Lepisosteus oculatus: one gene and its partners. The protein of the gene in region 2 purifies or fractionates together with the protein of the main gene of each other region. This does not show direct contact. Links are inferred from orthologs where the notes say so. Each region holds a gene or a part of one and is shown on either strand. Other genes may lie near its edges.

Region 1 (7,061 bases), on a different chromosome or scaffold from region 2:
ATGTTTTTGGCAGAGATTACTGAAATCTGGTTCCAACCTCAATACCAGTCCATGGGGCTTGTGTGTCTGTTTTTTTTTCATAAAAGGAAAAAAAAGGAAGAAATGTGAGTGGAGAGAAAGCCTTTCTGCTCATGAAAGGCAGCCAGTGTTTAAACAAGGTCAGTTCCTTCAGTTGTCTTTGCTCAGACATGCAAGACAGCCTAATTTAGACAATATTTAAAAGCAACCTGCTGGGTGTGTCTCCTCTTTTTCCCTCTCACGAGAACTCCACACCCATCCATTTTCCTAAAAATGCGTGAATCTCCGATGTTCGTTATTATTTTTACAGATTTTTCAAGAGTTGAAAAGCCTGCCATTTGAGAGATGCCAAAGACACCCTGCTTGGACAGTGGACAGTGGAATATACCAGTCCAATGCTTCCTTTTTAATTTGGATGGGTTACTTTTCCACACAGAGCACTTTCGCAAAGCACTTTGAGTAACAATATTATTTACACTTCCTGGGGGTGGTATTATTCAAGTCAAAGCAGTAGAATAAAAGGACAGATTTGGGTACATCTGTGTATATTTAAATTTCCGCCCTTTTCCAAACCTGTGCTTAAAATCTTACAATATGGTTATAGTGACATGTAACAGGGCATGTAGTAGATGCTACATTTCTTTCATGTCTTGTATTAATGAGTCATAAACCAGGAAGAAAGGTTAAACTGTTTTTAGGCTCTTAAGCTCTGTGCTGGGAGGGATACTACTCTACAAACTCTGCACCCTAGTGTTCCTCAAAACCCCAGCTGAATATCACAGGGCTATTACAAAAAAAAAAAATCGGAAATTCTGGAGTATGCCAAGGCTGAGACTCGTGAATCTTTTAATTTTGAAGTCTTGAAGTCTTTAATTTTTAATTTTGGACTAAAATCTTTCAGCGCTACAAAAAAAAAAAAAAAAAAATACGACCGTGAGGACACAACAACAATAAAAGAAATCTGCAGATCTGTGCAATTGCATACAGATACACAAACGCATGTCTATGTGTACGCTGTATGTGCATTATTTGTACACAAGTGTTAACACATTTGTAAATTTTAGAAACACAAGACGCGAAATTTAATTGTGGCCATAAATCTGTTAGGAACATATATTGTTGGACAAACCGAGAAAATCGAGCCATAAAAATAATTCGACCTCGCTCTCCTTATTCCCTATGGTGCGGCTCTTGTTCCATCATTAGTGTCCAGTGTTGGAGATACGGCTGTTTTGGACACACTCCATTACACTGTGTCCGGATCTAGGCTGTGTTCTGCCCTACAATGTTAGGAAGCCCCAGCTGTGCTCCGGTAGTGTTTTTCTCCCCGCTGAGATCGGCAGCTGGCCACATCTGGAAGAGAGCGCGGCTGTGGTGCAGCAGCGCAGCGTGTGGGGTTCCGTCTCCAAGAAGCAGCGTCTGTCTCTGACCTGCGGACTGGCATTTAAAGATCTACCTACTTGCGTGAAAGTCTGTTAATCCGAACTTGCTCTCGGTTTATCAATGCTTTCAATAGTTGATCCGAATGAAAAATTAGCTGAGTTTTGACCTTTGAAAAACTCCATATGTGTATGTCTCTCTTGGGGTTCTGTTTAGTAATCCGTGAAGGTTGTCAAACGAAAGACACCGACAATCTTAACGATACAATGCGTTGTATGTTTGAACATAACTATGTTTTTTTTAATAATGGAAGGTAAAATGAAAATCTTAAATTTCACATGCTATTATTATTATAGTATATAGTAAAAGTAGGAATAGCGTGCCAGTGGAAAAGGGGAAAATGATATGGGATGATATTACAGTATATACAGAAACAAAGTCACAGACTGATAGTCGCTAAAGAGAATATAATGCTCTATCTTCTAAAATTGGCATTTAAGACGTAAACCACAAAAAATAATTGGCCATGGATTACTTGTCAGCAAGAAGCTTTGCGCCGTAAATAATTACTACGATGTCGATTTGTAACATTAAACGTGTACGTTTCATGAATGGACCATTGACCTTTTTGTCTTGAGCATTTAACCCTCGCATTGAAAGAATCAATTATTACATATACAAATATATCAGAAAGAACAGAGCAGTTTGATTTTATTCCTTTTGAACTCATCTCCATTTTGACCGACATGCATATATCCAAAACCGTCCCTGTGACAAAATCATTTCGGAACTATGACATTCCACAGTGCAAATGTCCCTCTTTAGTGTCACCACCTCCCTCGCCTGTTCCGCCTCATACAGCTAAAGCACTGTTGTTCATTCAGGTGACCGCCTTTGCGCACGAAATTACACACCTACCTTTAATTGAGTTTTCCTTTCCTTGAAGTTGGTGCTGAGTGCAATTTTATGACAGTTTTCTTTTGTGACGAGCAGCTCTTATCCTCCGTCACCGGGAGCGGTAGTTTCATCACAAGTGTCAAAATCCTTCTTTATCTGCAACACCACTTGCAATTCTAATGTTGAAAACAGGTTGAATAAAGGCGGTGATATTCTTTCCTCGCCTCCTTAATTTATTCTTTTGAATCCCCGTCCTTCCGTTCTCTCAGGTAAGAGCAATTACAACAAACCTCCCTTGAGCGCCGCTCGACCAGTCAGCAACATCAACGGCACTTTCAATAACCACGTCAGTGTTTTAAACAAAGCCGTGAAAGTTGGACGGTGCATCGCCTATCTCCAGACTGCGTGCTTTCCCTTGAATACAAATGACTCCGCTCGAAATCCAACTGTCACCACAAAGGTGTGTTTCTTCGATTGGAAGGGGGCGACTTGAAAACGTCTGGAGGAAACTCGCACATCGCCCCATCCCTCTTTATCCCAGTGCAGTACTTTCTCTAATCGTCACGGCTCTCTCTTAGAGGTAGTCCTTCTGCTGGACTTGAATTCAGACGAAAGGGATTACAACGTGTGACCGACAGGGAGAAGAGGGGAGGGAGGCAGCGAGCCCAGGCATCTGTTATGTATTTCCCCTTTGATCCAGCGTCGACTCGTATTTTCCAGCATCTCCTGAACGCATTTTGTTCTGTGCTTTCTATTCAGAGGAGCCTGGAGAGGTTATGCCAGTGAGAGCAGCCTGATTAAACGGTATATATATGTATTCTTTTTTTTTCTTTCTGACTACAATTTTAATCATCAAAACCGGAGATTGATACTCGAGCCAAAAGCCCTTTATTTTTCTTAATCACTGCATGTGAAATCCCACGGTTATTTTCCTTTTTTTTTAGAAGCAAAAGGAAGATCGACGTTTGAAAGACCTCGGCTTCCACAGAGTTTACGGAGTTAGCTAACCATAACGGATAGATAGATATCTTGAGTAGATAGAATTAACAACTAGGTAAAATGTATCTCCGGTCTCTGAAGATCTCGGCGACCAGCGCTAACCGAGAATAAAGACAGATAAGAGGAGTTCTTTGAACTTCGACTGGAAAGCAGTGCAAAAAGACTGCAAATGTTATGTTTTATCCGTGTGACAGGGGCCACACACAAAAGACAGAAAATATAAATCTTGAGGTCGTGAAGGTTTTCTTATCCACTGTAAAATCACACATGGAAGAAAGTGCAGGGTTTATTTCAACGGAGAATTAAACGAATTTTTACCGCCTCTTTCATAACACTAGTGTTGTACAAACCTAGTAATGGAAACTGTGGTTTAAGAACTCAGTAGACCATTTTCCTAATTCAGGCCTGAACTCTCAGCATCTTTATCAAGGTGGGGCATATAGAGAAAGAGAGATCACTTTATTAACCATATACAATTTCTTGCATTAGGAATTCATACAGTATGTGTGCATATCACAGCTTGCTCTCCATGAGAGACAGACAGGGAGAGAAGCTTGGGGTCAGAGCACAGGGTCAGCTATTGTATAGCACCCCTGGAGCAGCTGGGCCTTGCTCAGGGGCCCAACAGAGTAGGATTCCTCTGCCAGCCACAGGACTTGAACCAGCAACCTTCTAGCCACAGGCACAGACCCTTACCCACAGTGCCAATTGTTCAGCTACAGAAAAAAGCAACAGAGGTACACTGTCCATCCTTGTCAACCGTTCGAGGTCTATCGCTTTTCTAACATTATCCAGTCCAGTCTTTAAAAACAAAAACAGTTACCATGTATAGTCAGGTCCCTTGGGTCCCACACACCCATCACTCTGTTCTACATTCATCTTTCATTTTGGAGAACTGGTACCAGGCTGTCAGATAAGATCACTTTATTAGCCATATACAATTTCTTGTATTAGGAATTTGTCTTTTCACATACTATATCCCAACTTGCTCTCCATGAGACACACAGACAGGGAGAGAGAAGCTTGGGGTCAGAGTGCAGCCATTTATACGGTGCCCCTGGAGCAGTTGGGGTTAAGGGCCTTGCTCAGGGGCCCAACGGAGTAGGATTCCTCTGCCAGGTGCAGGATACAAACCGGCAGCCTTCCAGCCACAGCCGCAGATCCCAAGCCACGGATATGCCACACCACCCCTTTGAGATTTGAAATGTGCCAGTTTTCACCCAAGAGTTTTATTGTTTTCCCAGGCTTGTCCTTTTTGTAAGATCTTTCAGACATTTTAATCCCACTTAATCCAACAGGCCCTTTGAGCACCAGGATAAAAACTGGCTCATCTTCAAAGCATCAGTGCCTTGTTTGCTTACAGTCATCCAGTTTGTACACACTGTCTTGAAAAGGTGTTGGACCCAAAGCCCTGGAGGACAGTTGTCTTTACCTTGAAGCCTTTCTTTTGTACTTATCAATCAGGGGAAAGTGTACTGTAGCTTCGGATTTGAGCTCCCGCTGCAGACACTGCTGTTGTACCTTGAGTGAGCTCCGGTCCACCCAGCTAAGAAACTGGGGACCAGCACTGCTGGGGATATGAGTGCTGGCCTGGTTAGCTGCTGTGGCTTGATATGAAAATTGCTCAACTAAGGAAATCTTTGCCATTTTCAGTGACACACACATTTACCTGCATTCAGGAAACATGTGTGAGCAAGTAAGTTTGGCATGGTCCATTTAGTGTGAAGAGTCAAAGCTATTTTAAGAAAACACATCAATGATTTTACATTACATTTATTTAATCTGAAAAAAAAAACTTTAGGTAGAACAATAATCGAGAACGGACATCGTGTATTACTGTTTTCTTTCCACTTTTTTGCACAAAAGGTTGTGGGGTTATGGATTGAGTTGTTGTTCATATTATCTAAGCCAAAATTGTCACTTCTTTCAAGTGGATCAGATCCAGTTAGCTTCCAAAGACTCGACAGGCCTCCTCTCGTTTGTAAACATTTTGTTTTGGGGGGGGGTGGTTTTCATTCGATGAGCTGGCAAATTCAGCGAAAGTTACCCGCGGACCCAGCCCAGGGTGTAGTTTTGGCGCCATCTGTTGATAAATAGAAAGTAGTACAAGAGGAGCAGCGTGAGACGCGTGATCTGGGAGCGGAAATTTGACTTTTTTTCTGTCTTTGAAGTCATTTGTCTTGCAAATGCTAAACTTTGTAAACCTGGAAATATTTAATGATACTCCAGCCACGGCTGTTCTCCTAGTCACCACGACGATAGCTGGGGAAAACAAGGGAGAGAGTGTTTTTTTTTATTTCCCTAAATATTGAAAGAAGAGTTTTTGTTTTTATCAAGAAGATCAGAATAATGATAAATTCAGTTCTATCACCATTATGGTGTCCCAGAGGTGCAATCAATTCTGCATTGATGAAGAAAATAATGAATTCAGTAGTTTATTGATAGTCATGCACGGATTTCTGGTGCCAATTATGTTAGATATGTTAGCATAAAAGTCACATTCTTGCTTTTTGTACGAGCTTTGTCTCTGTGACTGACAACTCAAAGCCGGGAATGATTATTAGTCCTCATGAATTCAGCCTTGTTAATTGGAGGTCCCTGTTATTCTTCAAAGAACCCCGCGGGTAAAAAACCTTGCTAGTTCAAATGCAGCCTCTGATAGCCCGTGTCTTTGGTTTGTCTGCTTTTGAGGATTTGTGGGGCATACCTGTTTGTAGTTATAATAAAAAAGGTTAAATCAAATTAGCTTTCTTTAGGCGCACTAGTTCCTGAGCTTCTCTAAGTGAGGCAGCAGCCTTCTCACCTTGTTGCATGCTCTCTTCAGACCTCAGAAGAGGTCTGACCAGCAGAGCTGGTGAGCCTGTAGGGGGCGCTCTTCTGCTCTTCCTAATCTTGAATTTGCAAATCCACGTCTCAGTGTGGTGAGTGGAGATAGGGTGCTGTAGGAGGACTTTTGGATGAGTAAATTAACCAAGGACCTGACCTCCCAGTTCTTTGTATGTCGCAGTTCATAAGAGTAGATGTGTTACCCCTCCTATTATGGTATACTTCCGCTCCGGGCTTGTACAATCTGGCCTCCCTAAAGTTCCAATCTTTATTCACCTGGTGAAGGTGTCTCTCACTCCTCCCCTGATCTGCTGTGTGGAGGGGCTGCTGGTGCAGACTGGAAGGAGGTGGGAGTAAGGGCCTTGCAGAAGGGCCAAACGGAGTAGGATTCCGCTGCTGGCTAAATGATTTGAACTGGCAACCTTCTAGCCACAGGCACAGATCTGTAGCCACAGTGCTACCACATCACCTAGGTAAGCTCTACACTTACAGTAAGTGCTATGTTCGATGTATATGTAAAATGCTTACATACGTAAAGTGCTCTTTCATGTACTGTAATGTGCTTTGAGATTCATTGAGAAAAAAAGAGAAATATAAATGCAAGGAAGTATTGCTGTTAAAATTATTAATTAATGAGACATACACAACCGACTCCCCTTACTATACATTTTGTAAATGTCCCCTTTTGCTCAAGTGTAGCCTGTCAGCTTTTGGAGTGCATCTTCTTTAAGGGGGACAAATAATTTCACTAAAACAGCTCCATCTCACCGTGGAAGTGATAGGAAAGCTGGAGATCTCAAGAAATGACCCAGATCAGGGTTTAGATTTTGTAACAAGAGCTGTAGCTTCTTTTTGTGCCTCAGCTGCTGTCTCTAGACTCTTTCCCAGTGCCATTCTCTCAGCCTGCAGAAATGAAGAATTCACAAGTGTGTGCAGTGCAG
Region 2 (7,596 bases):
TGCCTCAATGGGACGTCCTGACATCCACATTCAACCTTTGTCCTTTCACAGGGGACAGAGTAGACAAATGTTCATCCTGGGCTGTCCTGCCTGTTCAGCTCTGTGGACTTGGAGGCTCTGGCAGGAGGGTGTGTGGCTGGTGACGAACTCACAGTGGAAAACACAGCCCTGCCACGAGTGGGCCTGAAAGAAGAAGATGAGTAATGCTTCAGATGACGGGAGATTGTTGGTGTGAAAAAAATCACTGATTCACCATGTGCTACAACAGCCTGCTTCTTTTAAAAACAGTGTTGAAAACTGCTATCAAAAAATATAATCTTACCAGCACACGCTGAGCTCGGTAGCACTGGTCTTTCCATGTATGGTTGCATTTCTGAAGCCCTTAATTTTCATGTCAGCTAACAGAAATGTATAAATGTGGGAAAGATACCACCAAATGCTGTTGTTTCTTAGAATATTATCGCATTATATGTCCTCAGGTTGTCATTTTGTTGTAATGTTCTGGATGCTTTGGCTCAGTTCTTACTTCACTACGCTTGAGGTTAATGTCTCTAAGCCAGTGGCGGCTGAGTTCCGGCGTGACTCTTGAGCTCAGAGAGAGCTGGAGTTGAATTTGATTTTACAAGGTTTGCCCGGTTCCATGCGTGTAACACAATGCAGGCCTTGCCATGTTTTCAACATGGCTATTAGGACTGGGGCTGTGGGCTGAGATGGCGACATGTGACAGGAAAAGGAAATGAGGTATGTAGCCCTGCGATGTGATTGGCTGAGTTGAGATATCAAGCCATAAAAGTGACAGGAAGAATGCCAGTGTTGGCTCTTTCTTCATTGAGGCTGATGAGCTAAGAACAGCAAGGTTTCAGTGGCAGCAAAATTGGTACCGACATGAAAATTACTTTAAGATATTATGAAGTTAAACTGGAAGATTCCATAGAGAGGTGAAAGAAGCCCAGGTAATAATTTTGAAAACCTAATAAAATGTTTGAGATTTAAATGTTATTGACTCATAGTGGTTGTGGAACAACGTCTTTGTGGGTTTTTTTAACATAGTACATTCTATTCTTATTCATTCAAGGCAAGCAAAATGTTTCTCTTGTATCAAGTTAAAGTGTTGCTCTGTTTTAAGATGAACATCCTAAAGAATAATAAAATGTACAGTGCAATTGTAGAAAGATATGGAATTGGAGGGTACTGTGCTTAGCTTGGTTTCTGAGAATACTTGTTAAACTGTGCAAAACTTGGGATGCAAATTCTGCGCAAGAAACATGAGGTGATATTACAAGCCATGACGCGCTGCACCAGAGTGTGAACTGATAAGCCTCTGCATTTACAGTGTAGAGCTGAAAAGCAAAGAGTGATGAAATCTTTCACATGATTCCTGGAACACAGCTCTTACAAATAACAATAATGCTCAGTATAAAGCTTTAATAATTCTGTTTAGACCTTTTCAGAAATAACACACACAGATGGTGCACACACTAGTGCTGTAAGTACGATCCGTGGGACAGCTGCTAATCTATACAAAAAGGTATGTTTTGGAAGAGAATCTTTTCTCTTTCCTTCATGACTTTACAAAGGAAAAATGTTCTTGTTGCAAATATGATGTTTACTTCTAAAGTTCGGAATTTCATCAATGCTATGGGGAGGATGGGGGTGCAGTGGTTAGCGTTGCAGTCCCTGGGGTGCTATAGGTGTGGAGTTTGTCTGCTCTCCCTGTGTTTCCATGTTCTTTCTCAATGTGCTCTGGTTTCCTCTCAAAGTGCAAAGACATGCTGGTAGGTTCATTGGTTTCTAGGTAAAACTGGCCCTGTTGTGAGTGTGTCTGTGTCTGCGTGTGCTCTGCGCTGGACTGGTGTCCTGTCCAGGGTGTATCCTGCCTTTTGCTTGTTGCTTGCTGGGATAGGCTCTGGCTCCCCCTTGACCCTGAATTGGATGAAGCAGTTAGAAAATGGATGGATGTTATTACTATTATAGGTGTTACAATTAAAAAGGTGTTGACCAATATATTTTTAACTTTAACAACCAGAAAAGACATTTGAATGCCTTTTGATTTCAGTTCTGTTAAAGAGTCAAGAGGATATGACCCTGATAGACATAATGCATTGACTCCAGGAGACAGTCTGTGCTGATGTGGCTCCTGTGCCCTGAGTCATTCTTCAGCAGGGCGCCTTTAACCCCAGTTCACTCCTGCCTCTTGTCACAAGCTTGATGCTATGATCACACTGCTCTGCGGAACGTGTATGCGTTTTGTACAGCTGGACATCGCCCATGAGAAGAGGTGGGAAAGCATGGAACAGCTGCTTGTGAGCTCAGGATTATGAAATGGTAAGGGGGAGTCAGAAATAGCATGCAGAATAAGACCAAGGACTCTGCTTCTTCCCGTTAAGAATTGTGTGCTTTTAATTGTACGCGTGTGTGCTCTGTCTCTGTGTGTGTGCTTTAGCTTGTGGGAAGTGGAGTAAACCATTGTTTAGACATTATCAACTCGATCAAATGTACTGTAAGCGCTGGAAGAAAAGTCCTTTGAAACTAACACGGAAATTTACTTCGGTATTTTTTCCCCCACAAGGAACAGTATGTTCTTGGCCCGTCACGCCCCCGCCTTCACTTTCCAGGTAAAGCCGGCCAGTCCCGTCTCGACCTGCCGGGAAGGAAGCGCGGCCCTTTCTAGCCTCGTGATCAGTTCGCGCGGAGAACTAGGGGGGGTCCGGTTCGGGCGAGGAGCGCCGGGACCGCTGCGGAATTCTCGGCTTTGAGAACTGAATTCCAAGGGTTGAGGTTTACCGACCAGCCCATGGACCTCAGTTCTGGAGCTTGGGGTTTCTAAACGACACCGCTGGGACTCACACTTCCCTTCGCGCCTTTCTGAGTTGGAAAAGTACAGGGGCTGCGTCTGAAATGCAAGTGTTGTTTTTCTTTGGTCTTCAGTCCGTGGGGAAGCACAAAAGGCGTCTTGGAGAAATTGCAGACCGTATAAAAAGGACTGGCGGTGTTAGTATGTGTCATTCTGTTGCTGTGCAGGTCGTTGCTCAGTGGATTTCAAGCTGCCGGACGATTTCAACAGACAGAATAGAACTGAACTTAATGTTCCTCCCCCACATACACCCTCTTTGCCCGCAGGCCAGCAATGGCCTAGCTTTTTGCTGTTCTGTTAGGAAACACCGTAAAACTTGGGGTGTGTAGGTGACTTCATCCTGCCCACACCACTGGATCAACCCTCAAGTTTCGAAAGGTTAGATTTATGCAGAGATCCCTTGAAGAGCAAGCTGGATCACACGGCTAGCTCCTACACCAGATGCAAGCCTTGCTAGTTTCACAGTCCCGGGGTCAAACAGCTCTCTTTGTTAACCGCTAATGAGTGCCAAGAAACGCGATATGTTCTTGCGAAGACTTCAGGAAATATTTGAAAATTATGTTAGTCTTGCCATTTAAATTAAGGTTGGAATGAAATCAGAAAGGTGGCAATGGATAGATCACCCCATTCGAACATCATTGTGTGATGCTTTACGTATAACGCAGCTGATTTCCATTTTATATTGGCTACAAAGATAATGTTAAAACATAACACCCCCATAAACAGATCGACGCGCAATCGCCTTCAAATGTATTGGCTTCGCTGTTAAAGAGCTCCCTCTACCGTGTTCAACTGGAAATGAAAGTTTCGTCTAGCTTTGGAGACACGAGCTGTAGTTATTTTTAATCCTGTGTCCCTCTAGAAATGCTTTTAGGTAGAGAAAAATCAGTCGTTTACAGTGCTGACCCGGAGAGTGCTCACTTTGCTCAAGTAAAAGCGCAGCACGTGCCCTACCTACGCCTCGAACCCGGGACCAGCGCCCTCCCAGCCCTACCCACTACTGCACTGGCCAACGGGGCTGGCAGAGTTCTGTTTTGTTTCTGTTGTTATTTATTAAAATGTCGATATAAAATGTACTAATATAAAAGTATAACTTATACATTTTAGTTGAGTGTATGTAACTTCGCTCCCTACCAACCATTTAATTCAATATTATAGCAACCACATAGGATCGTTCGACAACGATAAATGACTGTTTTGCAATAAACATTTTTGCTCTAACTTAACATTATGCGATTGATTTCTTCTTCTTCAACCTCCAGACCTGACTTATGGTTTAAGATGTTTTTTTGAAAAACCGTTCGGGGCATTCAGCCTCTGTTGTACTCGGTTAACTATTGATACTGTGCTAACAGCGTTTGATTTATGCTTTCAACATTCACAACTTTTTGGATTTAGAAATATTTAATTTTACTCGAAATATAATTTATAGGAAATTAGCCGAGTGTTTAGACTACGTCAGTCCAGGCAGGTTTGCTAAAACATGAACTTCGCAGCCGTCTTAAAATTCAAACTTTTCTATATATAAAAATATAATATAGGTCAGCGCTACAGCAGCAAAATATAATACAATAGTATACAATAAACTATATAGGTCCGTGCAGTAATATTGTTCTAGTATAATTTGTAATAAGTAGGCTACAGGTTGTACAATAGTAGTTACTTAATAAATCAAGTTAAGAAATATTACGTTTTACAGAGGAAAATTTAAGATTTTTTTTCACAAATACTTCAAAATAATCATTGAGACTGTGAATCTCAGTCAGATTATGGTACAGAGAAATCTGATTCTTAACGTGCTCTCACGACTGAATCAGTCAGGGACGAGAAGGTGGGCAGACTTGAACCAGATTTTTTTTTCGCCATTTTGAAACGGCATTTAAATAGTTGAGACAGGCAGAACATCACCACATATTTGCAATCGTCCACTCCCCTCCATCTGCACGCTAATTCGGTAACAAACGGCAGCAGGGGTTTCGGGAGAGCTCGGTTAAGACGGACGACAAAGTCTTCAGTATCAACCGCCTGCCTCAGGAATCATGATTCCCGGTATGTCATCTAAAAAAATCCGCACTGAAGGCAAATACAGCATTAGCTAATTCTGGGGGAGAAATAATTGTGCACCTTGGTTCGGTTCTGTCCAGGGTTCGGTGGAGGCAGCGCGGAAGACACCAGATGGTGTTTCGCACAGGTGAAAGGTGACGTGGAGGTCAATGTCACAGAAGGTAAGAAGTCACCTGGCTACGCAATTGTTGTTTTACTAGGTTTTTATAAAAAAAACATTCTCTGTATTTAATTGTTTGACGCTCGAAGTAGTCCTACGAAGTGTTTATGTTGATTTAAAAAAATAACTTGTCTTTATCAAATGAGTTCATTCTAAACGGCGTGTTTCGGAAGTTGTTTTTTTTTTCTTCACACGCCTTTACAGCAGGTGTTGTAAGCCCGGTCGAGCTCATAAGTATATTGGATTGTGTTGTTTATTTCATCCCTCCCACCTTTTTTTTTTGTTTTGTCCTGTAAAGTTATATTCCTCTGAGTGCTATCAAGCATGGAATATGATGCACATATTTGTTTTTATCAGCACTCTGTTTTTAAACATGGTGGTTTGGAGGCGTGGGAGAATGAATAAAAGTATGTTGCAGCGTAGCACAAGTCCGTGTACGTGTGTCTGTGGAAGCAGTATCTCCCTACAGGTCAGGTAACTTGAGTGGGAAAAGGCGTTCTTTATAATTTCTTCGTGGAGTTGAAGGCATTACATAACCTGCTCTGACATACAAAAACGCTGAGATGGTACCTGCATGGAGGAAAAATAACTGTTATCTGTTTTGTACTGCCCTTCAACAACCACGGTTTAAGCTGGGGACATGATTTCCTTATGCTTTCAGTACATTTGGAGACCATACTTCGGTGTATCAAGGCTTGTCGCGGGTGTCTTTGACAGAGAGGGGGAGTAAATTTTAGAATAATATGACTTACAGTTGTACTGTACTTTATAACATTGAACGCCGAGACGTTTCTATGGAAACCTGAACGATTCCGGTTTTGACGAACATGTTGCGGATCCTCATTGAGTGCCTTTGCCTGTAACTGAGCACCGATCGTCGGAAACCGGTCCTTGCCCACTTTCAGTCTGAGCAAGCTCACATTTGGGCGAGAACGCCTTTTGATTTCAGTATTGTAATGTAAGGGGGGCCGCTTATATACATCGATTTATTATTAGAGTCAGGAACACGGTAACCCCGTAGCTCGAAATAGCTGTTTCTGTCAAACGTATCGAATTTCTAGGACGGTATGAGACGCTAGGTTTGTTTTGCCCAATAATCACTTGGTTATCAGGGCATCAAGTGGGAGACGAGAATCGGTTGTCGTGGCGGAAGGTTTTTAATTCGAATGTCCTAACGGGGGTGTATCTGTTATATCATGATTTTATTTCGAGGTTTTGATGGGCCATCAATCCAGGAGTCTAAGGGTTAAGGAACATTTCCGATCTTGACTGAAATACCACATAAACGGATGTGTCATGTCGATAAGAGCCGCGGCGCGCAGTTTGTCTGCCGGTCGCTGCCGAAGCCGTGTGAGGTTTGAAAGGTGCCGTGCAGAGAGAGATCGGTGTGTATCCGGGCGAGGTGCTGTCGGCGGCGGAGCCCCAGCTGTGATAAGCCCAGAGTCTCTGGGGGCTGAAAGATCAGCTCATGGAAGAACAGGAAGAACACCGCAGTCCTCCTCTTGCGGGGGACTCCGCAAAAATAATACAACAAATGCCAAAGGCTATTGTAACGACAAAACGTCCCCTCTCCTGTTTCGAATAACCCCCCTTTTCACCTTTCCAAACATATCTGTCTATCCGTCTATATATAGAAACCTCTATTTCATAAATATTCATTGATAGTTTTCGGGCTTCCTAAAAAGCCGTGTAAAGCCGAGATAACTGCTGCGAGAGCGCGCACGGGGGAGGCGCGCTTCCGTGTGCCGGTGGAGTGGGCGTGAGGTAAATACCACTTCCCTGTCTCCAAGCTGTGGTTTCAATTGTAAAATGCACGGTTTACCGGCAAGCTTAAAATATGGATACCTCGGCACATTAACAAAACAAATAATTGTCTTCTGCAGCGGAAATCATGTCGTATTTAGGCCTGTTCCAAAACAGGTATTTGCATATTTTACACAAAGGCGCCGAGGCGGATAGCGCGATGCTGGCTGTTGTACTAGCGGGATCCGACGGTCGATTCGAGGCTCAGAACTGCGTGGAGCTCGCATGTTCTCCCCGTGTTTGCGTGGGATGCCGTCTACGCTTAGACTAGCCTGTTCTCGCTTCTCTTGCGGGCTTGCACCCCGCTTTGGGAGAAAGCTTTTCAGCCTCACCCTAAACCCTGTGCCAAAGAGGCTGCGGTTTGCCTCCCGCCCTCGGCAGAAAAGCACCCTTCCCAATTCTAGGACGGCTTGAACGTTAATTATCAAAGTTCACCACATTGGGATTCCTCCGGTCATACGCTGTACAGCTTTTCCGCTTATTGATACTTACTAATTTACTGCAGATTTTAGTCTACCTTGACTCCCGTGTCTTCTCTTACTAAAATGGATGACCTCTGTATGTAGCTTATTCAAACGCTAGCGGAAATATAACTGTATTATATAATTATAACGATATTATTTAGAAAGCGTGACGCATTCTGTGTACATAGGTTGTAGGACGGGCACTGTGAGCTACGCGTTGTAGCGCATCCTTGTTGTAAATGAAGAGCTTT
Region 3 (7,808 bases), on a different chromosome or scaffold from region 2:
AAAAATTATAATATATCAGCAGGATTTATATGAATACAGAACATTTCTAGTTTAAAAAAGCTTACCAATACATTTGCATCAGACCTGGGGCTATTCCTTCTGGGACTTTGAGATTTGTTCTGTCATTATATTATTCTTCATACGTCACACCATCAGTAAACAAATCGAAAGGTTCAAGCCAGTCATGTGCAGCCACTCTACCCCAACGTGAAAAATGTGAACAGGAAATAAATGCATTGTTACATTTTAAAATGTAAAGCATATACAATATTAAAGTACTTTGTATGTGAAAGAAAGAAGCTTTGAATTTACAGTGTGTAAGATTACATGTGTGTAGATTATGAAACTGTGTTGATGTAAACATGTACACACTACAGTGTACTGAATGTGATGCTCTGCTCTCCTTTGTGGAGTCTGGACTAACTGTAAAAAGTAAAACTCTGTACCGCACTTACAGATTAAGTGCTTTGGTATAACCTGTGTCACTTTGAAAACCCAGTTTTGTTCTGTGCATTTTGTTTAATGCAAATATTGTAAAGGTAAGCCTTTCACTGTTTCTCTTTATAAAGTTAACTTTTACAGAAGTGCATTTAAAGTATTCTTCTCATATTATAAATATAGCAAGTTTCAGACTGTAAATTGAGATACTAAACATTTTAAACCCGATATAAAGCAGGTTTTGTTGGCATGTTCTAAGATGTTTTTGAGGTATTTATAACTTGTGGCATTCTTTAACTAATGAAGTGCAAATAAAATTTTATATTTATTACTCAGCATTTAATGTTGGAACGTTTAATTTATTCTACGTGAAATGTACAAAATTAGATGTACAAGGGTCACCCAGTGTGTAATGCACCACATTTTATAAGGAACGAATTCTCACAGGACAATGCTGTCAGACTGAACTTTTCTGCTTTGTTGCTACTTTCTTGGTGATCCTCTTTTCAATTGAAATGTTAGTCTGAAATGCCGGTAAGTCGCCACCAGGTGGCACTCTAATTCTGGAATATAAGATGTGTCTCGGCTCCTCTTGCCCAGAGGATGGCAAATTTATGCCAGATTCCATGCCAAGGTTCGGTGCTCCTGCTAATCCTCAGTTATTGAAGTGATTTTCACTTTGCTTGAGTAAAATGAAAAAAAAAGTGGAATTAAAAGGATCAGTTCTGTACTGAATGTTTTGGAACAAGGGCCAAAGTCCTGTAATGGCTAGGAATCCAGGTGCCAGAGCAGAGAAGGCCCAATCGAGCCCACGGAGACGTTGTTTATGAACACAGCTCTGTTGATAAAGAGCCCGTACAAGCTTCAAGTGTCCACTAATAAGATCTCTTTATACTTCATTTACAGGAAAATGCAGTATTCATAGGTTTTTCCCTGCTTTTCAAACATGTAATTTTCTGTTTTTTTCTTAAGCGATGTGTGTGTGTGTGTGTAGGGGTGGCACAGTAGCGCACTGGTGAGCCCTCCTCCCTCACGGCTGCTGGGGCCCCGGGTTCGAGTCCAGACCTGGGGTGCTGTCTGTGTGGGGGTTTGTATGTTCTCTCCGTGTTTGTGTGTGTTTTCTCTGGGTGCTCCAGTTTGCTGCCATAGACCAAAGACATACTGGTAGGTTCACGGGCTTCTGGGTGAACTGGTCCGGGTGTGAGTGTGTGCGGATTTGTGTCAGTGTATCTGTCTGCCCTGCGGTGGACTGGTGTCCTGCCCCGGGTGTACCCTGCCTTGCGCCTGTTGCTTGCTGGGATAGGCTCTGGCTCCCCCAGGACCCTGAATTGTAACTGTTAGAAAATGGCTGGATATACTGAAGTTGTGAAAGACAGCATTTCACAGCTGGGGACTCGCTTTAACACTTGCCCATAGATATTGATTTGGACACTGTCCTGAAAAGCTTTCATGGTCAGATTCTAAGTTGAAAGCCTAGGGGAAAATCAAGGATTTTATCAGGTTTTCTCACATTTTTGCTGTTTCTAAATGGACGTCATAGAAGGTAATATTAGGATTGGGGTGTGGGGGGAGCACTATGATCAACTCGAAATGGTATATGTAGCTGGTCAAGTGGTGAATGGGCTAGTAACCACAATGAACCTGAGATTCATGGATAACAGATTTGGCAAACCTTTTCGTATACAACCGTTGTAGTCTGAAAATACAGGTATTATTTTAACAAATGATCTGCTGTCTCTTTAGTGGCCTGCATTATCTCTTGAGCCAGACCTCTTTAATGCACCTGGAAAAGCAATTGATCATCTCCAGCAACACCTGCGATATTAGACAGGCAGGGCACTATCTTGAGAATGAGTGCTGCCAGCTGTGCATTTCACAGTGGTCAATGTTTTCAATTGATCTGGTCAGAAATTCAATAAGTTGACTCCTTCCTGTTACTAGTTTTTGTTGCATCAGTTCCGTTTTACACAGTTTTGCTGTGTTAATGAACCAAATGGTTCATTTACGGTCTCATTTTAATATTTACGGAGGGGATCATACATTCGTTTGATTCCTAGCACCTTCCCTTTGCTGACTGAAAGTCCTGGCATGAAGATAACATGCCTTAGCTCAGTGTATTCAGCATCAGACTTTGCTACAGCTAGCAGCATGTATTGTGTGGTAATCAGTCTTTATTTGTATGTATGGTGTTAGTTCACATGCAAGCCTCAGTAATACATTTTACAGGGTGAACATAGTGATGCCAAAAAGAAACGCAAGATTTTCTTGAATACTATAGTTATAGTTAATGTACTTTCACAAAAAGTGATAAATTTGTTTTAAGCAGTACAGCTGGTGCAGTGGGGCATTGCAACCTGCCAATCACAGGAAAGCTCATTAGGTGCACTTTTACCCAACGAGGTGCAGGTGGAGCAATGCCTGATCAGGTCACCTTTAAAAAGGCCTCAATTCAAAGCTTAGGTCACTGCGAGAAGAAGCCCACACTTAGTCAGTTTTCTGTGCAGTCCATAATGCCTCAGATGGCACCAGAAGCAAGGGAGAGGGCCACTGGCATGCTGCAGGCAGGCCTGTCATGTGCCAGCGTTGCCAGACGCTATGGAGTGAGCCGCTCCACTGTGTCCCGACTGCAGAGAAGGCTTCAGCAGACCGGCAGGACAGATGACCGCCCAAGATCCGGTTGCCCTCGAGTGACCACACCAGAGCAGGACCGACACATCAGACTGGTCCATCTGAGAGATCGTTTCAGATCTGCCACCCGTACTGCGGCTGAACCTGCCAGCAGACACAATGCCCGCATCAGTGACCGGACAGTGAGGCTCCATGCTGCTGGCCTTAGAGCAAGGCGACCTGTCAGAGGCCCTCTGCTCACAGCTCCTAGACCTCACACCCAGCTGGCTTGGGCCAGACAGAGGCTGCGATGGACTCGTCAGCAGTGGCATCAGGTCCTCTTCACAGATGAGTCCCTCTTCAGCCTGTTCCACCCAGACGGGAGGGCCAGAGTGTGGAGGAGGAGGTGTTGCGTTTCTTTTTTCCATCAGTATGTATACAACAACCCTTAAAGTACTGCTTACACAATTTAGTAGACACTCTACAGTATAGAATTTAACAACACACTTAACTGAAGACAGAGTAGCAAGTGTGAAGCTGTAGGAGCAGTACGCTTGTAGGACATCAGTGCCTAATGGGGAAAACGTGATTGTAAAAATCATACAGCTGCTCACACTTGTGTAGCTGTCAGTAACATGAAATGGTCAGATATGTAGGCAGCTGCAAAATGTTCGTAAACGCACTGACTGAAAACAATCTCTTTTAGACAGCTGTTTGTGCCCTAAGGATGCCAAAGCTCTTTATGTGTGGTGCAGCCATGTGCCAGCAGCCCGACTAGAAATGGGAGAATCAAGGAGAAGTTCCAGGTAGGTCAGGCTGTTCAAGCCCAGAGGAATTTAACCAGGACGCTGGGCACCACACCCCAACTCTAATGAAATGTCACGGGACCTTGTCTGATGCCTGGTCTGAGTGATGGTACCCACTACTGTACACTGTACCTAATCACAATACTCGGGAATTTGTTTTGAAAGCTGTGGTCCAAAGGGAAGAGTTACCCCCAACACCTCTTACTTCAGCAGCCTGGTTTTCCTTATAAGTCCTCTTTGCCCAGTACTGACTGGACTCATCCATGCTTAGCTCCTGAGAGATGACAAGATCTGGCGGGCTACGGTCTGGTCATTCTGCTGCTTAAAAGGACCGCAAATGTAGGGTCTAATGGAAAAATTATTTTTTTTAAATAAGAGAAATATGTATGACGAACACCATCCATCCCCGTAAGTCTTAATTTTTTTCAATACTAATGTATAGTGTAAGGAATATTTAAAGCTTCTTTTGTATGTATCCTTATTTTCTGTTTGTAAATATAATGTGAGATGGAGCCCAATAAACAAGTTCCTTGTGACCTCCACACATCTTCGAGGGATACCATCTGTTAATGGCTTTATACCGTGCTTGTGTTCCAGGGATGTAGTGCTTTTTTATACACGAATGCCTACACATATAAGGTGTCAAATCTGAGGTGTCCTGCGTGACTTAAAAAAACAAATCCACGCAACAGTTTAGATTTTATATTGATATTGCAAAGTTAACAACAGTGGGTGTAAAGGCTAGATTGGGCGGTGCCTTTATTATTCCTGTAAGTCTAGGTTAATGCCTTTTTTCCCCCCAGTTCCTGAATAAGAAATTCTCAATCCATGCGGAAACAAAGTGGACAAAGCCTCAGACTCCGTTCTGAAGCTTACGGGCTAAGGCTTTTAGTGCATTAGCGCTTTAATGCCACCCGCAGACACAGCTGCCAGAGAGCGGTCGTGAGTAAGGACGCAGACAGCTCTATGGACTTCCCATTCATTGCCCGTAAGACAAATCTCCTCGGACTTAAAAATAAGAGAGAGGGCGGGGGGGTGAGAATTGATGGTGAAAAAAGCAGGCGCATGCGCTCGCCGGAAAGGCACAAGCGTCAGAGACGGACCGCAGCAGCGCTTGCAGATCTTGCATGTCAGACCGGAGCGGAGAGGGGTGGACGGCTGAGGAAACTGTCCGAGGGGTGGGGGGGACGAGGTAACAGAATGGGGGTTCGGGGGGATCGCTGTCTTGCATCACGGCTGCACATGAATTAAACCCGGACAGAAGACAAACCCGTGGCCCGGCAGGTGGGGGTGACTCGCGTCATTTCGATTGGAAATTCAGGGTTGTTTTTTTTTTTATCCTTGCTGCATTTTCTTTAAACTGGTTCAAGGAGAGTAAAGGGAGGATGAAGAAAGGGGGTGCTTGTACTCGACAGAGGTAATCCATCGCGGGGATGTGAACGCCTGACAAGGTGCGCACCAATCCGAAGTGATGAAATCGGAAAAACAGGACGGTATTGCCGAAGTGATCTGCAAGGGTTATTTGTGTGGGCAGAGGACGGGTCGTTTCTTTCATCACCATTCCTTACACGCGTCTGCGGATGATGGAGAGTTTAAATGGCACCAATAACGAGAGCAAGCCGCAAAACCACCAGTTAGTGGAGAAGAAAAGACTGAACAGAGCGCCTTCCCCTGCGAGACCATTCCTGAAGGATATACACTCCCGGTCGTCTGCCAAACCCCCGGCCATCCCTCCCAAATCTCCCAACCTCTCGAGCAAGCAGCAGCAGCAGCAGCAGCAATCAACAGGGCTCCTGGCATCTCAAAACCGCCTGTCCAGGCGCAGCATCTCCGGCGCCAAAGACAAACCGGCTCCGGCAAAGAGTGCCGCCAAGACCGCGGTACCCAAAAAGGCAGCTAAGACCATCCAACACGGGACGACAGAGCCGAAACTCGCCGGCCACAGCTCCGGTAAAGGGAAAAAAGAGAAAAGATGCGCCGTGGCGGAGGCTCCCCGGGGTTCACCTGGCCAGAGCTCTTCGGTCGGCGCCCCAGGAGGAGCCGGGCTGGGGAGGAGCAGCCATACGGACAGCAGCTCGGACCTGTCCGACTGCCCCTCGGAGCCCCTGTCGGATGAGCAGAGGCTCACCCAGGCGGGCAGCAGCGATGCGGAGTCCGGCTCCGGCTCCGGCTCCGGGTCCAGCGACCGCGACCCAGGGTCTGGCGATCACCAGCCTGTCGGGGCGGCCGCCGCCGCGACCTACGGGAGGGCTCACAGCCTCCCCCAGCTCGGGGAGCCCCCGGCCTCGGTGTCCCAGATACCCGCTAAAGAGAGGGTGTCCTACCCGCTACCTGCTCCAGGACAGTGCGGCGACACGGAACCGCCGGGAAGGAGCCCCGGCAAACTGGACTTTAGACCGGGCCACCCGAACACCCCCACAGAATTCATGCTGCGGGGCAGCAAGGGGTTGATAGAAGAGGACCTGCTGAGGGAGGTCGAGGACCTGCGTTCCGAAAATGACTATCTCAAGGTAAATGCGAATGCGTTGGAATGGATCCCTTCAGCACCGCGTTTGTGTGTCACTGTTTTTAACACACCTGCTCACTGAGGAAGGCATTCGTCGACACTAACCGTTCGCCAAAAAAAATAAATAAATAGCGGTACCACAACTGACGCATGTGCCAAACACGAGACATAGTGTAAACCTGTACATGAATAAGTTCTGTGGTCCGTGTAAGCGCGTATAATAATATAGGCCTTATCGTCTTTACGCGTTAAAACTGGGCAGCAATCAAGTTCTTTACATGTTCTTTTTTGTTTCCTTTTTTTTGTCAGCCTGGATAGTTACGCATTATTGTAACTAGGGGTGACTAAGAAGATGCTGTTTTGCGTTTTCCTCTGCGAGCACTACAGCACTGTTATTACAGTATATTAGCACACTGTGTACTGGATGTGTGGTTGGTGTTCAGAAAAAGCCAAGGCTATGCAATGCGTTGCGCTGCAGCGAGAGTGCAATTACTAGGCTCTGCTTAGGGACATCTGCTTTTCTATTGGTTTTAACCCTTTTGGCGCATAACACAGAATTGTTGCTTTCTTTTTCCGTCTCAAGAGCGCAGTGAAGCCTACACCAAACTCAGTTCAATTCACTTTACTCTTCGTGTTGTCTTTCCCCCCCAATGGCAGCCTGTAATAACTGAATTCCCTAATTACTTGAGCACTGATTGTTACTAGTTTGTCATTATTGTTGCCATCACAGTATCCCAGTTCGTTTTGTTCACTTACAGTATTTACGGACCTTTAAATACTCGTAACACCTCGAAACTCTAAATAGACTCGCATGCGCTTCGCTGCTTTCCGTAATTGGTCTGGAAAGCGACTACATACAGTACACAGATGTTAATACTATTTCGATCATATGTATAGAACCGAGGCGATAATCCAACCTTGTAGCCTTTTACATTAGCGAGTGACTCCAGAGATTTAAAATTGATATTTTTGCCACCACACCGCGATCGCATTTTATGTACGCCCCGGCACTGCAAGAAAACACGTTTTTTTATGCAGCTAGTGAACAGCTATGGGCGTATAGCGTCTCACAAGCATCTTGTAAGATATTTCATGCGGACATCACAGGTGACACCAAAAGCGTGCTGAAATGCTGGCTCCTCTGTAGAGACGAAAAGAAACGTCGCTCGGAGACGTTGAGGTGGCGAATCAAGCTATGGTGTATTGTATATATATATTTTAGTAGCTACATTTAGCCGGAATTATAGAGATATATAGCTCTCAAATGACTTTTTCAAACGCTTACATTTTTAACCAGAATCTGTATAAACCGTTTATTGTACCAGAAGGCTACTCTGTATTTAGTTAAAAATGCTGCAGGCTAGCTTCCCTTCCACATGACCAAATACAAATGAACCAGCTCCGACATGAAGCTGTGTAGCGCGTATGTCGTATGTTATTGTCAGTCACGT
Region 4 (6,660 bases), on a different chromosome or scaffold from region 2:
CAATTTTATCAAAAAAGGCAGAGGTGTAAATACTTTCACTATTGCTCAGGTCAAATGCGTACGACACCCAAGGTTCAATTTCACATTACGGTTTGTTTTTCCCTTAAGCGATTTTGCACGGAGAACCCGTATAGCCAAGAGAAAACGACGAATATTGCAACACAGAGGGAGTTTACACAACAGGACCTTGCTCCTTACTCCGTTCTCACAGTAAATACGGAAGTTCAAGACGTAAACAAGAATAAAAGATGGGTAGTCAAATGGAGGATACGTGGCTTTCACGCCAAGGTTGTGAGCGGCGAGACCGGACGCTTTCTAATCCCCGAGCAGAGCAGCCTTTCAGCTTAAGAGCCCCGAGGCGCCATGACCTTTGCCCCCACAGAATAAAGACAGATGCATTCAGCACCCCCCCGCCCCCCCAAATACATTCCAGACTCGCAGCCACGTAACGGCCACTACAGATCACTTCAGCTTTAGTGCACTGGAGAGAAGAGGCAGAAAGCAGGGATTTCATGTTCAAAAAGGTTTTAATACGTGTGTAACACGCAAATAAAATCCATAATGAAGCGCAAATACCAAAATACAGATTCAGGAAGAAAAGAATGGTCTGTACAAAAAAAACATACAAATATATACAGGTCTTTATAAAACAAAGACTTTCAACATCCCTAGGACCTCGCCTTTAAAACATGTGGCTACAAATGAGTTTAGCACCGATTCTTTGATCAAGTAATACATGTGAAATAGTAACAGCTCGCCACATACTATTCTTTGAGGTTTTTAATTCCTTGAACCGGGACTTCCGCAATGAACGACAGCGTTTAATTCCGGGATCGTTTCAAGGGTTGTAAAACAGTTAATCGAAATAAAAGTGCAAAGTTACCAAAGGGGCGAGGAAATCTCTGAACACACTTTTCCAGCTAAAACGTACATCCCGATCCAATTAAACGACCCCTTCCACTCGAGATCGCGTCCACTTTATTAATCCCTGCGTCAGGACCAGCACCAGTTCACAGTCTACAGCCCGATTCAGGCATGCCCCAACATAACGCGAGTGGAAACATCTCCGCGCGGCTCGGGAAAGCCCCACGCCGCTCTCCACGTGGTCGGGCACAGAGAGGGGGCCCAGCCTCTCGGGCAGGGGGGAGGCGATGGCGCGCCCGCCTGGTCACAGCTTCACGACAGATCCCTCAACACATTTCCACACCGGCCAGGTGACCCTCCGTGGCATTAAAACGCCACGATCGCCGTGCTCCAGGGGTTCATGTTCTTGAGCATCTGCTCGCAGCAGATCTGCCCCGAGGCGGAGTCGCTGTCCCCGGCGGGGGGCTCCGCCTGCGGCGCGCTGTCTTTGCTCAGCAGCCCCGAGAAGCTGGAGCCGAAGATGGTGATTAAACTGGAAACGTTGCTAGTGTCCATTTCTTCCTCTCGCTCGGCCTCTTCGCTGGGGGAGGTCTGCTTGGTTTTTTTGACGGGGGACTCGGCGTGGGGCGCCTTCTCGGCACTTCTCTTCCTACAGCAGGAAGCGGCCGCCGAGTGATTTAATCTGGTTTCGGATGACTCACTCTCGCCACCCTTGACTTCTGCTTCCCCGCAGCCGCCCGCGCCTTCTTCGGGGGGTGTCGCTTCCTTGTAGGGCGGCGTTTCAGCGCCGTGGCTGCGGGCAGGGAATGGCGCGACTGGGGCACACGGCAAGTCCGCCGGCGCCGGGACAGGCTCCCCCAGCGGCTCCCCGGTCGGGCGGCAGCAGCAGGCGGGTGAGGAGGGCGCGCTGGGGGCGCTCTGCTCGCCAGGCTCTGCGGTTTCGGGTTGCCGGCCAGCGGCGGGGCTTTCCAGGGCAGTTGCAGCGGGCAGTGGGTGGGAGCTCTCGGGCGGGAGCGTAGAGCCGCTGTCCGGGGATCCCTGTGCGCTCCCCGCCGGATCGGAGCCGGCTTTGTCCTGGGTAGAGTCCACGATCGCCCCCTCTCCCCACTGCGGCGCCGTGTCCATGTGCTGGGCGTTAAGGCAGACACCCTGGTAGTACTCACTGAGATAGACCTGCCGGGCGCTCCGGAGGACCAAGGACACCAGCAGGTTTTTGTGCAGCTTGATTCCGCCTCTCTGCACCCGGGAGTTGTAGATCTTGCCCAAGGAGATGCTCATGATCCGGTGCGCCTCGACCTTGTACTCCATGGTCTCTGATCGTCAACCAGTCAACTGCGCGGCGCAACAAAGGCGACCCCTCCTGCGGCGGTCCTGGTCCGGGCTGCTCTGGATCACCGCCTGAGCTCTCAGTTCAAAACAAAACCCAAGAGGCTCGTAAAACACGAAACTTTTAAAACCGGTGTAACTTAATACCAGCTACGGAAAAGTTTATATAGCCGCAACTAGGTATGTTGGCACTCTTGTTTTCGGGAGCTTTTTAACTATGATTTAAAACAAATCTAATTAGTTTTTTTTTTTACAGTTTATAAATAGGAGGGATGATCTTTGCTCTGTATACAACCACAATAAATACAATTTTTTTAAATACTACAGACCACCCCTCTCTCCTGCGCGCTTCTAAGGAAATAACTGGACTTCTATTTTTAACGCGATTATATACCCCGGCGTGACGCTTACGACAGCCAATCACAGCGCGGATCTTCATTTACAAACGTTGAGAAATTACGCACCGCCAAGTCCGCCTCGACCAATAGGCGAGCGGGGTGGAGGCTCCGCAGATTTAAATACTAACGAGGGAGATTCTCTTAAAAGGGCAACTCCTGAACCCAGCCGGCGCGAAAGCGTCTCGCCTGACGAGAGAACCACATTCATAAATACACACCACCGCACTGGGGGAGGGTCAGTCAGACTGTCTTCACAGCCCACCTGCAGAGTGAAGAGGCAGGGCATCACTGCGGGCCTGTTTCACAATGGCCGTGTGCAAGGAAAATGCAGAAACTGATAAACGAATAAGTACAGCACCCTGCGGCACTGGAGAACTCACTTGGCCTCACAGTTTAACATGAATTCGCCGCAAACCGACAGCCAGCCGGCTGCAGAAGCGTGCTCACGGACGGTTGTCCTGGCTAAAAAGGTGGTCATGTAAAACTGGTGAAAAATAAGACACAGAGCGGAGATGAATCGAATTCTAATAACGTGTTAAGACGTTAAGAGACGGACAGTCCATGTGGTTGTGTGTCTTAACGTATGACGTTTTTGTTTTTGTTGAGAAAAAAATAAATTCCTTCCAAAGCCTAGGAAGTATCGGTACTCTCCACACTCCGTGGCGTCGCCCGTTTAAGAGTATTTTATTTTGGTGGCGGTTTGCCTGGGCTGATGTAATGCCTCGTCTGTTTCAGGGGAGTCACATGACGCTCTGTGCAAGCGAGCCCCGGACCGTGCTGTCTGGCCGGCGGAGTGAATGGAGCAGCTAGCGTGTGCGGCGGGCGGGGGGGAGGGGTGTTTTGACACAGAGAGCTGTAATGCGGGGGGATGGGCTGGACTGAAATCTAACATTTCTGGGGGAGGGGGTGTGTGTGTGATGAAACAGGTCTGGGACCACTTTCCAGAGTCGCAGAACGACTGCGAGGCCATCAGACCTGACAGATGAGGGCTTCGCTCTGGGCCTCACCGGTCGCGTACTTGCGGGGAGGGGGGGGACGGGAGGCGATCGGAATAGGCCTGGAAGCTGTCGGCAAAATAAAAACACATCGGGAGGGGCGAGAGGTGACGTAGGAACACCACCACCAGAGGCACACTCAGACAAAGAGCAGGAAGCAATTTTCCACTTCTGACTCAGGAAATCGCTTTGTTGTTGTTGTTTTTAATCTAGTGAAATGACAGCAGGTAGTTTCAAAGCGCGGCGGCTCGTTTTCGCTTGAGAGCGCTCCTGGAGTGCGAAGGGCCCCGGTATTGCGGAATGTGCACCCGGCCGTATGGACAGCAGGCACCGGTGTCCCCGTTGTCGGCTCCTGTTCATCCGTGACCCCTCAGCCTGCCCGGGAGCGGCCTTCTTGCCCAGGACCTCACACTGGAGACCCTGTAAGACGAGGACTGGCAACCCGGCGGCGTACAGAAGAAGCGTCGTTGCGGTTTATTTTGATTTTTGTGCGTGTGGACAGTACCGTTTTACGCGCTAAGACGCTCACTGTAACAACACGCCAGATGTATAAGGAACACTAAACGTTAATTTGCACAACAAAAGGTCATTTGTGGGTTTGTCACGTAGAGATCTAGGAACACCTCCGCCCTTTCTTAAGGGTGTTACTTTACTTTAACGTGTTAACAGTGTTTCCTGCTGTTTTCAGGAAAGCGCCTTTGATATAAACGCTTGGGCTAAGCGTAGAATAGAATATTGTTTTAAAAGTTATGAGCAGGATAATGTATTTTGTTCCCTTTGTTTTGGAGGGCTGTGGTACAGTATATTTTTAGGAAAATCTATTTTTACTTAACATCTTGTATAAGAACGGGGATATATTAATGGTTAATTATCGTGCTATGACATTGTATCCTGGTATGTGTTTTAGGGGAAGAACAGTGAATGTGTTCATTTTCTTGATGGCATACACAAAAATCACGTGAAAAGCATTACGCTCGCCTTCTTAAAGTTCACATTTATTATAGTCTTTTTTTCCCCCTTCGGAGTTGAAACCAAGTTTTTGCATGATACGCCCAAATGAGCATGTAGAGATCCGAACTTAATGAAAACCTTATGAATTGCATTCCATGTAAGAATGAAACGGACTGCCAGGACTGAACGTCAAAGATCAGTTCTGCATTGTGTTTGTGTAAATTACCCAGAAGTAGTTTAAATGAAACTGATGCACCCCAGATGAAGGTCACTTTCATCTCTGTGACACATTCTTGGAAACAAAATATTGGTTTCTTCCCCGAAAAGCTCTTTTAACAAAAAAAAAGAAGAATCAGCCTGATGATTCTGAATAATCTTCAGACAAGGACAATTTGGAATCATGCATTCAAAGGCCTAGTAACCAACATAAGGTGATTACTACATTGCAGGAATTAGGCAACACAAATGGCGAATATTAAAAATATTTGGTAACAAACATGAATAAATGATTCCTCTCATTGTCAATATGTCCAATGTGAAAGTGGCTTCTGTCAAAATGTTTGACCTTTATTCCTCAGTTAGTCTTACTCATGAAAATATTCAGAAACAATTAGTTGACAGTAATGGTAAAATATTTTGTTCATCATAAAAACATTATCCACCCATTCTTAGAAAGCCGCTTATTCCTGGTGAGAGTCACAGGCGTCCAAAGACTGTCTAAAAAAAACAGGGTACAAAGCAGGTCTGCACTCTGGACAAGGAATCTTAAGTAGAGACAGGAGACAGTTTGCTTTTCTATATTTTATGCCTTGATGGATTTCTTCATGCGATATAATAAGTATGATTATTTTAAGCACTCGCACAGGATGTGTACATAGCTTCCAGATGCTGGACAATATGACTGTATATGCACAGTTCTAGGGCATGTCTGTACATGCTGAGCCCAAGCCTGCTTGCCCACAAAGTATAGGTATAGTGTGGAGTAGTATGTAAAATGGAGGAAAAAAATCCTCTTCGTTTTTTATGATTTCATGATTAGGAGGTCCTATTCTATCATTTCAGTCATTCCTATTTTGTGCTTTTTAAGGTTTTATTACAAATTCCTCGAGCTGTTCAGACTACATTTTGTTAGGTTTAGGTAGGGATCTGAAATGTGCAAAATGAGAGGGCCCTCACATTTCAATGTCTCTATTTCTCACCAGGGTTTTTCAGTGTAAATGGGTCTTGAAAAAAGTCTCTGTAATACTCAGGAGTCCAAAGAAAGAAAGCTGTTGCTTATTAGCACTGTACAGTCTGTACAGTACAGTGGAAATATGTCATCTGAGATTCTTCGGTTGTGTGCTTCGTGATCTGGACAAATTCCTAACTATAATTGGCTAATGATATCGGCTGGGCTCACACGCTCTTTAGAACACTCTGGTGTTCAATATGTTAGGGCAGAAATTGAACAGAGTATCCATCTTCACTCCATAACCCATCCACCCATTTTTGTTCGCACCGTTCCTTCCAATTCCTGGTCCCGGGGGAGTTGGAGCCTGTCCTGGCAGCAAGCAACAGGTGCGAGCAGAGGCACACTCCGGAAGGGAAGCCAGTACATCACAGGGCACACTCACACAACTCACAGTTCTCCCGAAGCCAAATAACCTGCCGGCATGGTTTGGGGCTGTGGGGGGAAACCGGACCTCTTGGAGGAAACTCGGGGAGAACATACAAACTCCACACGGATAGCACCCCAGGTCCAGAATTGAACCCGGAGGGTCCCAGCACTGTGAGGCAGAAATGTTAACTGCTGCGTCACCACGCCACCCTACTCTACAACCATGTGTCACAAGTCTACAGGCTTCACAGGGTACTGCTCCTGTTACTTTCAAGCGCTCAGTGGCAGCTGTTTAAATAATTAATGGCAAGTAACTAATGAAGAAGACTTCCTGCTCTTGCATCTCTGCGGTGCTTTGATTGTGGCCCAGCATGCATTTACAGCTTTAATGTAATGAAGGGGAGAGCAGTCAGTCTCCCAGGTTTTTACTGCAAATTCAGATCATTTTAAAAACAGGATCCCATCTATTAATATATACTGTGTATCAGTGAAAGGGATTTGTTTTTAAGCCTTGAGATGCTCAGGCTGT

What was found.
Region 1: the proteins of serine/threonine-protein phosphatase 2A 55 kDa regulatory subunit B beta isoform (region 2) and sertad4 purify together in Homo sapiens (co-immunoprecipitation; 3 studies listed by BioGRID and IntAct, with this or other methods). This does not show direct contact. The link is inferred for Lepisosteus oculatus from reciprocal best matches to the Homo sapiens genes PPP2R2B and SERTAD4.
Region 3: the proteins of serine/threonine-protein phosphatase 2A 55 kDa regulatory subunit B beta isoform (region 2) and microtubule cross-linking factor 1 purify together in Homo sapiens (affinity purification with mass spectrometry; 4 studies listed by BioGRID and IntAct, with this or other methods). This does not show direct contact. The link is inferred for Lepisosteus oculatus from reciprocal best matches to the Homo sapiens genes PPP2R2B and MTCL1.
Region 4: the proteins of serine/threonine-protein phosphatase 2A 55 kDa regulatory subunit B beta isoform (region 2) and ier5 purify together in Homo sapiens (affinity purification with mass spectrometry; 4 studies listed by BioGRID and IntAct, with this or other methods). This does not show direct contact. The link is inferred for Lepisosteus oculatus from reciprocal best matches to the Homo sapiens genes PPP2R2B and IER5.

What each region holds. Positions count from the first base shown.
Region 1 is NC_090697.1:26,749,070-26,756,130, reverse strand, and holds the start of sertad4 (SERTA domain-containing protein 4), read right to left. Parts: upstream 3,022-7,061; 5' UTR 2,317-3,021; intron 1-2,316.
Region 2 is NC_090706.1:27,877,825-27,885,420, forward strand, and holds the start of serine/threonine-protein phosphatase 2A 55 kDa regulatory subunit B beta isoform, read left to right. Parts: upstream 1-4,594; 5' UTR 4,595-4,893; coding exon 4,894-4,903; intron 4,904-4,998; coding exon 4,999-5,079; intron 5,080-7,596. UniProt on the Homo sapiens protein: The B regulatory subunit might modulate substrate selectivity and catalytic activity, and might also direct the localization of the catalytic enzyme to a particular subcellular compartment.
Region 3 is NC_090701.1:56,252,486-56,260,293, forward strand, and holds the start of microtubule cross-linking factor 1, read left to right. Parts: upstream 1-4,786; 5' UTR 4,787-5,431; coding exon 5,432-6,361; intron 6,362-7,808. UniProt on the Homo sapiens protein: Microtubule-associated factor involved in the late phase of epithelial polarization and microtubule dynamics regulation.
Region 4 is NC_090704.1:30,252,438-30,259,097, forward strand, and holds ier5 (immediate early response gene 5 protein), read right to left. Parts: upstream 2,568-6,660; 5' UTR 2,173-2,567; coding exon 1,231-2,172; 3' UTR 509-1,230; downstream 1-508. UniProt on the Homo sapiens protein: Plays a role as a transcription factor. Mediates positive transcriptional regulation of several chaperone genes during the heat shock response in a HSF1-dependent manner. Mediates negative transcriptional regulation of CDC25B expression.